Xenopus tropicalis: one gene and its partner. The protein of the gene in region 1 purifies or fractionates together with the protein of each later gene. This does not show direct contact. Links are inferred from orthologs where the notes say so. Each region holds a gene or a part of one and is shown in the gene's direction. Other genes may lie near its edges.

Evidence for each region. Proteins that work in one complex are often made in the same cells at the same time.
Region 2: the proteins of ubtf (region 1) and sirt7 purify together in Homo sapiens (affinity purification with western blotting; 3 studies listed by BioGRID, with this or other methods). This does not show direct contact. The link is inferred for Xenopus tropicalis from reciprocal best matches to the Homo sapiens genes UBTF and SIRT7.

What each region holds. Positions count from the first base shown.
Region 1 is NC_030686.2:18,512,423-18,515,885, reverse strand, and holds the end of ubtf (nucleolar transcription factor 1), read left to right. Parts: intron 1-61; coding exon 62-109; intron 110-345; coding exon 346-414; intron 415-1,022; coding exon 1,023-1,163; intron 1,164-1,251; coding exon 1,252-1,374; 3' UTR 1,375-2,861; downstream 2,862-3,463. UniProt on the Homo sapiens protein: Recognizes the ribosomal RNA gene promoter and activates transcription mediated by RNA polymerase I (Pol I) through cooperative interactions with the transcription factor SL1/TIF-IB complex.
Region 2 is NC_030686.2:27,960,101-27,964,511, reverse strand, and holds the start of sirt7 (NAD-dependent protein deacetylase sirtuin-7), read left to right. Parts: upstream 1-1,468; 5' UTR 1,469-1,484; coding exon 1,485-1,562; intron 1,563-3,089; coding exon 3,090-3,227; intron 3,228-4,411. UniProt on the Homo sapiens protein: NAD-dependent protein-lysine deacylase that can act both as a deacetylase or deacylase (desuccinylase, depropionylase, deglutarylase and dedecanoylase), depending on the context. Specifically mediates deacetylation of histone H3 at 'Lys-18' (H3K18Ac).

The sequences.
Region 1 (3,463 bases):
ATGACTTCATGCATTTGCCTTATCTTAAAGTTTTAATCATTTTGTTCGAATTTCTTTATAGACTTTATCGTCACAAGACCGTGCTGCATACAAGGAACAGAATTCAAATGTAAGTGAGGTCTGAGGGAGAGAGATTTAAGATGTATGACCTCATCAGGTTTATGTGTATATGGAGCCTTAGTGAAGTGCTGTCAGAATAGAGCACAGCATATGTGTATATATCATCTGTCCTGCATGCTGCCCTGCAAAATGCTTTTACTTTTAACAATGTGAAGTAATGCTATGGGTTGACCATCCAACTTGTAATTTATTTACCTGTTTTTTTTTTTTTGTTTTTTTTGGCAGAAACGCAAAAGTACAACAAAAATACAGACTCCCAGCAACAAATCCAAATTAGTAGTTCAGAGCAAATCGGTAAGTATTTATTATTCTTACGTACCTGTAGGTATACTTGCAAATTGTGCCAAAATGCCAAAGATGACCTAAAATGAAAAGGAATCTATCATCTTCAATTATGAATTTTAATGTAATTCTTTGCGTGCCATGGAGGTTGTTTTGCCATGCCATAAAGACCCACACAATGGCTTATTTATGAATACTTGGGAAATTTGCACCTGGGCAGTAACCCAATCAAGTTTATTCTTTTATTGTTCTTCCTGCAGTTGGTTAAAAAATGGTAACCACTGGTTGTTGTGGGTTACTGCCCAGCTGCAAATTTTTCATTGTTGCTATTGCCCCACATTGATGCATAGATCAATAAAAAAAAAACCATAACCATTGAATCTACAGTGTTGGGAATTCATTTAATACTCATAAATACTGAAAATCAGTTGCAAGTTGCCCCAGAGTACCGCTCCAATCAAGTATTTGCTTTATTTTTCCAACTTTAGTTAATGCAATATGTTGATTTGGTTACCAGGCCTGGGGCAGAAATTGCTCTGTCGGCACCTGTAGGGTACTCCAAACTTGATGCATTGGGTGCGATTAAGTTAATTCTTTTGTTTTATGGCTGCCCTCTATAGGAGGATGATGATGACGATGACGATGATGACGACGATGATGAGGATGATGAAGATGATGAAGATGAAGATAAGGAGGACTCATCTGAAGATGGAGATTCTTCAGAGTCTAGCAGTGATGAGGACAGTGAGGATGGTGAGGAGGTGAGTAACCTTCAGCTGGTTTGGGAGCCTAGAGCTTCCAGTGACAACCCTCCTTTTTTGAGCCACGCTTTCTGCTCTCTACCTGCAGAATGAAGACGAAGAAGATGAGGAGGAGGATGATGAGGATGATGAAGAGGACGATGACAATGAATCAGGATCCAGCTCTTCTTCCTCTTCTTCTGCAGACTCTTCTGACTCGGACTCTAACTGAATACATTGAAATTTCATCCGGACTCGGGGATGGGTTAAAAAAAAAAGGGGGAGGGGGCAATATTTTTACCCTGTTCAGGGCTGTTAGGGTTGTTATAGTATGGCTTGAAATGTGTGGAATCTTTGCCACCAAGTAGGGATGGCTTACAGGGTCAAGTTATAAGGAGATGGATGGCAAATTTCCTTTGAGTGGAAGGGGTTTCCTTTACTTCTTGCAAAAGGAGTCTCCTCTACCTGGTGCCGTATCATATCACTCATTTTTCCTACTGTTGCGTTCCCATGCTCTGTATCATAATGTTCTCAGTACTGTTTTGGTTATTGGACTCCTGTTGTTATCCCTCTCCCTTCTATGTCTTCCTATCTGTGGTGCCCGGGCACCCTATATAGCACTGTCTTTCTATTGCCAGCACTCTCACCTGTACTGAACCTGTCTCACTTTGCCTCCCGCCTTTGGCTGCCCATTCTTATTTCACTTGTGTTCTGTTTTTTATCACAATTGACAATATGGAATTGCCCCTCTGCTTTGTCATCTGCATATTGTCCAACCCACTTGGCCTCACATTATGCTTTGGTCTATATTGGGTCTTGTCCTGCTTGCCCTCTCTATCATTTCCCTGCTTCTTGCCATAATCTCCTATAGCTAACCCCGTTCCCCCACTCTGTCTGGGCTTCAATCTCTTTATCTCATTCTGTCCTTCCAGCGTCCATGCTATTCCTGACAGTGAGGGCAGGAATATATTGCAGCCATGGTGTAATGGTTAATATCACTTCTACTCTGTAATATATGTGGACAGCCTGGGTCAGCACAAGTCTGACCCCTATATGTAATATAATTGTGGGAGGGGGTTTGGCATGTTTTGGGTGGGGGATAACCCATATATAGACAGTCACATGACAGGAAGGCACGCAAACCATTAGAAATGGGATACAATTCCGGCAGGGCCCCAAAGCAAAAGGAATACAAAAACCTTGTTCACAAGAGATTTTTCTTTGTGGGCAAGTGGGCTGTTTAATTCAATTTTTTTTTTTTTTTTTGCTTGTACCTAAAACAATGTTGTATTTTAGCAGACCTGTTTTAGTATCTCTTTCTGTTTAAAAAAAAAAAAAAATTCTTTGATATTGTTTCTCTTTTTGGGGAAATGTAGATTCTTACGGTGTGGTACGAACGCACAGTGAGAGGTAAAACCCTTTTAGTGCATTTTCAGCACTGTGGAAAAAAAAATAGGATGTGAGCCGTGTTACAAATATCTTTTTTTTTTTTTCCCTTTTTTCTGTAATGACGATATTTAAAACACAAAAAGCGCTTTTTTGTAGTTTAAAATGAAAAATGACTAAAAAAAACAAAAAAAATGTGTTTTGTAACATCCATTGATTTAGTGTAGGCAGTTTCAGAAATGCGTGCGTTCTCATTTTTGTTTTGTAAAAAGAGGGCGGGCGGGGAAAGGTTTTCTGTTCAGTACTCTGGAAAATAAAACTTTAGGGAAAATATGTGAGCTTGTTTCATTTCATTCATCAGCAAAAAAAAGAGTGTCTGAAGTGACTGGCGATTGTATTTAGTCCCTGTGTTTTTATGAGTTTTTATGAGTTTTTAACAGTAACACCAAAAATTTAAAGTGTATAAAAGTAATTACAATATAATGTACTGTTGCCCTGCATTGCTACAACTGGTGTGTTTGCCTCAGAAAGACTACTATAGTTTATATAAATAAGCTGCTGTGTAGCCATGGGGGCAGCCATTCAAAGGAGAAAATGCACAGGTTACTTAGCAGATAACGGATAAACCCCCATTATATGGGGCTTATCTACTAGTTATCTGCTATGTAACCTGTGCCTTTTCTCCTTTTTTCCAGCTTGAATGGCTGCCCCCATGGCTACACAGCAGCTTATTTATAAAGTAGCTTTTCTGTAGCAAAAAAAAAACAATTTTTTGCAGAGCAACAGCACATTATATTTTGATTACTTTAAAACATAATAATTTTTTGATGTTACTGTTCCTTTAAATATGAAAGACAGCTGGGGGGTACCTTGCAGTAATTGCCCCTTGGAATTTTGTGTGCCCGTACACAAAAGTTTCACATAGACTGGTCCTG
Region 2 (4,411 bases), about 9.4 Mb from region 1:
GGATTATGATCTCAACCTGCCAGTTATTTGAAACTTCTGCGATTTCGGGGAAATCGCGGCGCAGCGTATGCCATCCCACCGGCGATTTACATTTTCACCGGTGGGATGGCATTTCGGGGAGATTAGTTGCCCGCAACAAGGGAGATTTGTCGCAGGCGACTAATCTCCCCGTGTGTCTCAAAAAGGCCTGGAAAGGATCATTGTCTCCCTCGTGATATGGGGCTTGTTCACAGCTTTGCTAGAATTCTTTCTACTCTGACAGATCTAATAGTAGAAACTGCTAACATGGATGCCTTACCTGCTCAGAAATGTAATTTAGCATTTAGGCTAGCAACCCACGGAGCAGTTCAGTCGCTCGTGATAGATCTCTGCTATTGTGGGTGGCTAACCTCGTTGGCCAATAGGAGTCGCCAGTGGAAATCCCTTCACATGGGTAATCCAAAGCAAGGCAAAAGGCTTTCTACCGCCAACTCCTATTGTTGCTGGTGGAAAGCCATTATGGAGCGGTTAGTCACTTATATCTAGTAGAATTAAGTCTAAAACAACTGGACTTTTCTGAGTTTTTCTTGAAAACCTTTCACCACTCATCCGAGTGGCTTCTTCAGTTCAAATGACTGGTAGAGAATTCCCCAGTATTTAAAGGAGAAGGAAAGGGTTCAAAATTCGACCCCATACATAGATAGGCCACATGTACCTGTAGCTGATTGCTACATTTTTTTACCTTTTTTGCAGGTACTTTTAGAGCACTCGTCGTTCGTTCTGAGCGCTCTTTTGCTTCTTTTTTGCATTGGATATTTATATTAGTCCAACATGGCGCAGCTTAAGTTGATGTGCATGCGCAAACCTTCTCCCTCCCCTATACGCGAGCGCTCCTGCATATGTTAAATGTGAATGCGCTTACTCAAGAGCTGGCCTTAGTCTCGGTGCAGGAGTGAGGCATTATGGGAATCTTCTTTACACAGCTCAGCGTTTTTTCTTCCTGTTTGGCTTCTGATAATCTGAGATTAACTCTTTATTAGCCTTTCCTTCTCCTTTAAACCCTTGATGGTAGTACAGTCGCAGATATCAGATCACAATGGTTCCATTTAGCATTTAGGCTAGGAACCCATGGAGCAGGTTAGTCACCTGTGATAGCAGAGATCTATGGTGAGTGACTAAACCGCTCCCTGGTCTGTTACCCTTAAAAGTACAGTACATTTCCTGGGCCTACCAGTTATTATCAGGTGGAGACTTAAATCTCATTTTTAAACAAGAGCCTTGATTTTTTTTGGCGTGTAAATTTAACCAAGAGTTTTGTGCAAAAAATATATTTCACTCTCAAGATTTAGTAAAATAACAACGTGGTTATTAAACTGCCATAAAACATACATATACTACTGCTATAGTAGCCTGTTACAGTCTTCGGCTGCAATGTTTTTATTGTAAAACCTTTCCGGAAGCGGAAGTTCCTTTCCTATCCAAACGCACTGACTGGAACTGCAACAATGGGGCGCGCAGAGAGGAAGGCGGAAGCGCGAGAGGAAATTCTCCGGCGAGAACAGAACCGGGACCGGCTCCGGCGGGTAAGTACCTCAGGCGGGGGGGAAAGTACCTCAGGCGGGGGGGCAAGTGGCTGCGGCGGGGGGGGGGGTAAGTACCTCAGGCGGGGGGGAAAGTACCTCAGGCGGGGGGGAAAGTACCTCAGGCGGGGGGGTAAGTGGCTGCGGCGGGGGGGGGTAAGTGGCTGCGGCGGGGGGGGGGGTAAGTGGCTGCGGCGGGGGGGTAAGTGGCTGCGGCGGGGGGGGGGGGGTAAGTACCTCTGGCGGGGGGGAAAGTACCTCAGGCGGGGGGGTAAGTGGCTGCGGCGGGGGGGGGTAAGTGGCTGCGGCGGGGGGGGGGGTAAGTGGCTGCGGCGGGGGGGTAAGTGGCTGCGGCGGGGGGGGGGGGTAAGTACCTCAGGCGGGGGGGGTAAGTACCTCAGGCGGGGGGGTAAGTACCTCAGGCGGGGGGGTAAGTGGCTGCGGCGGGGGGGGGGGTAAGTGGCTGCGGCGGGGGGGGGGGTAAGTACCTCAGGCGGGGGGGAAAGTACCTCAGGCGGGGGGGCAAGTGGCTGCGGCGGGGGGGGGTAAGTACCTCAGGCGGGGGGAAAGTACCTCAGGCGGGGGGGCAAGTGGCTGCGGCGGGGGGGGGTAAGTACCTCAGGCGGGGGGGAAAGTACCTCAGGCGGGGGGGTAAGTGGCTGCGGCGGGGGGGGGGGGTAAGTGGCTGCGGCGGGGGGGGGTAAGTGGCTGCGGGGGGGGGGTAAGTACCTCAGGCGGGGGGGGTAAGTACCTCAGGTGGGGGGGTAAGTGGCGGCGGGGGGGGGGGTAAGTGGCTGCGGCGGGGGGGGGGTAAGTACCTCAGGCGGGGGGGTAAGTGGCTGCGGCGGGGGGGGGGGGGTAAGTACCTCAGGCGGGGGGTAAGTACCTCAGGCGGGGGGGGTAAGTACCTCAGGCGGGGGGGTAAGTGGCTGCGGCGGGGGGGAAAGTACCTCAGGCGGGGGGGAAAGTACCTCAGGCGGGCGGGTAAGTACCTCAGGCGGGGGGGTAAGTGGCTGCGGTGGGGGGGGTAAGTGGCTGCGGCGGGGGGGGGAAAGTACCTCAGACGGGCGGGTAAGTACCTCAGGCGGGGGGGGTAAGTACCTCAGGCGGTGGGGTAAGTGGCTGCGGCGGGGGGGGTAAGTACCTCAGGCGGGGGGTGGTAAGTACCTCAGGCGGGGGGTAAGTGGCTGCGGCGGGGGGGGGGGTAAGTACCTCAGGCGGGGGGGTAAGTACCTCAGGCGGGGGGGTAAGTACCTCAGGCGGGGGGGGGTAAGTACCTCAGGCGGGGGGGGGTAAGTACCTCAGGCGGGGGGGGGTAAGTACCTCAGGCGGGGGGGGGGGGTAAGTACCTCAGGCGGGGGGGGTAAGTGGCTGCGGTGGGGGGGGTAAGTGGCTGCGGCGGGGGGGAAAGTACCTCAGGCGGGGGGGTAAGTACCTCAGGCGGGGGGGTAAGTGGCTGCGGCTGCGCTTATGCTGCAGGATTCTGTGGGCACGATGAGACGGCTTGGGTTGAACTGTTTCTCTCCGCAGGTGTGTGTGATCCTGCACAAGCCGGCCGCAGACAGGAGCCCAGAGGAGAGTGAACTGCTGGGGAAATGTGGGGACTTGGTGCACGAATTGGAGAAACGGAGGCTGCATGTGGAGAGGCGGCGGCACCGGGAACAAGAGGTGAGGGAAGGGAGGAGGAGAGTGAGCCGAGCGCCATAGTTGGGCTGTAGGCGTCGCAGACCCGGGATGGTCACTCTATTATTCACTGCAGCCATTAGTTGCCCCTGGCCAGCTTTCCCTGCTCACTCCCTATTTGTGCACTATAGCTCAGACACATTACCCTACAAGTTTACAGTACTATTCTTCCCTGTATCCCTCTGCTAAACTGGGTGGTTAAGCCCTGAGAGTTGTAGTTTCTCACAAGGTATATTACATTTTTTTCTTAAGGTGGCCACACATGTGGCGATTTTCGATCCTTTGGGTGACCATTGGTCGCAGGAAAGATCGTTCCCATCCTCCACAGACATTCAGGGCTGAATCATCCGATAAGGAGGTAAAAACAATAGGAATTCTACCTCCTTCTGCCGATTCAGCCCTGAAGGCAGATTCTGCTCAGGCGCCTTCTATGGCACCCAATCAAAATCTTTTTACCTGCCTGATCGGCGAGTCGACCGATATCCTCAGCCTTTTGCGATATCAGTCGCCTCGCCGAGTCGCCATACACGCACCCAATATCGTACGAATCATCGGTGCATGTATGGCCAGCTTTACTGTAAAGATATCCACTTTGCTCAGACTATTCCTGCTGTTTTGGGCTTGTTAGCGGATTTGCTTGCTAGCATGCATGTGGTACTTGTCATGCAACAGACTAATTGTCTTGGTGTTATGGCTCCATACTGCGTGTAGGTTCCCAAAGTGTGAGAGTGGGTACGAGAACAATTCCAACTTGGCCATCCTTTTCTAATAACTGGAGACCTTCTGTACTTTTTATGTGCTTAGTTGGTTTTATTTGGACTTTCTTCATTTCATTGATATACTTTTTAAATCTCCATGCACAAGTATAGAAGTCGCTGCATGCAAAATGTGGCGCGTGACTAGTCACCACGACTTTCGTGGTGGGTGATTAGTCACCTGACTGGATTTTAAACATTGTGGCGACTAGTAACCTCGTCTGTATCACCTTTACAGAAAATGTAAAGATAGTAAAGAAAGATCCTATGATCACTTTTAGGGGAAGGCGGATTAGAGGTTACAGTTGCTCCAGCTCAGAGACCCCTTTCCTCATGAAGCCTGTAGGGGTTAGATTGCAGTTTAGTGTTCAAAAATGGCAGAAGGAAACCTCCAAGAGATATTTTAAACTTTGA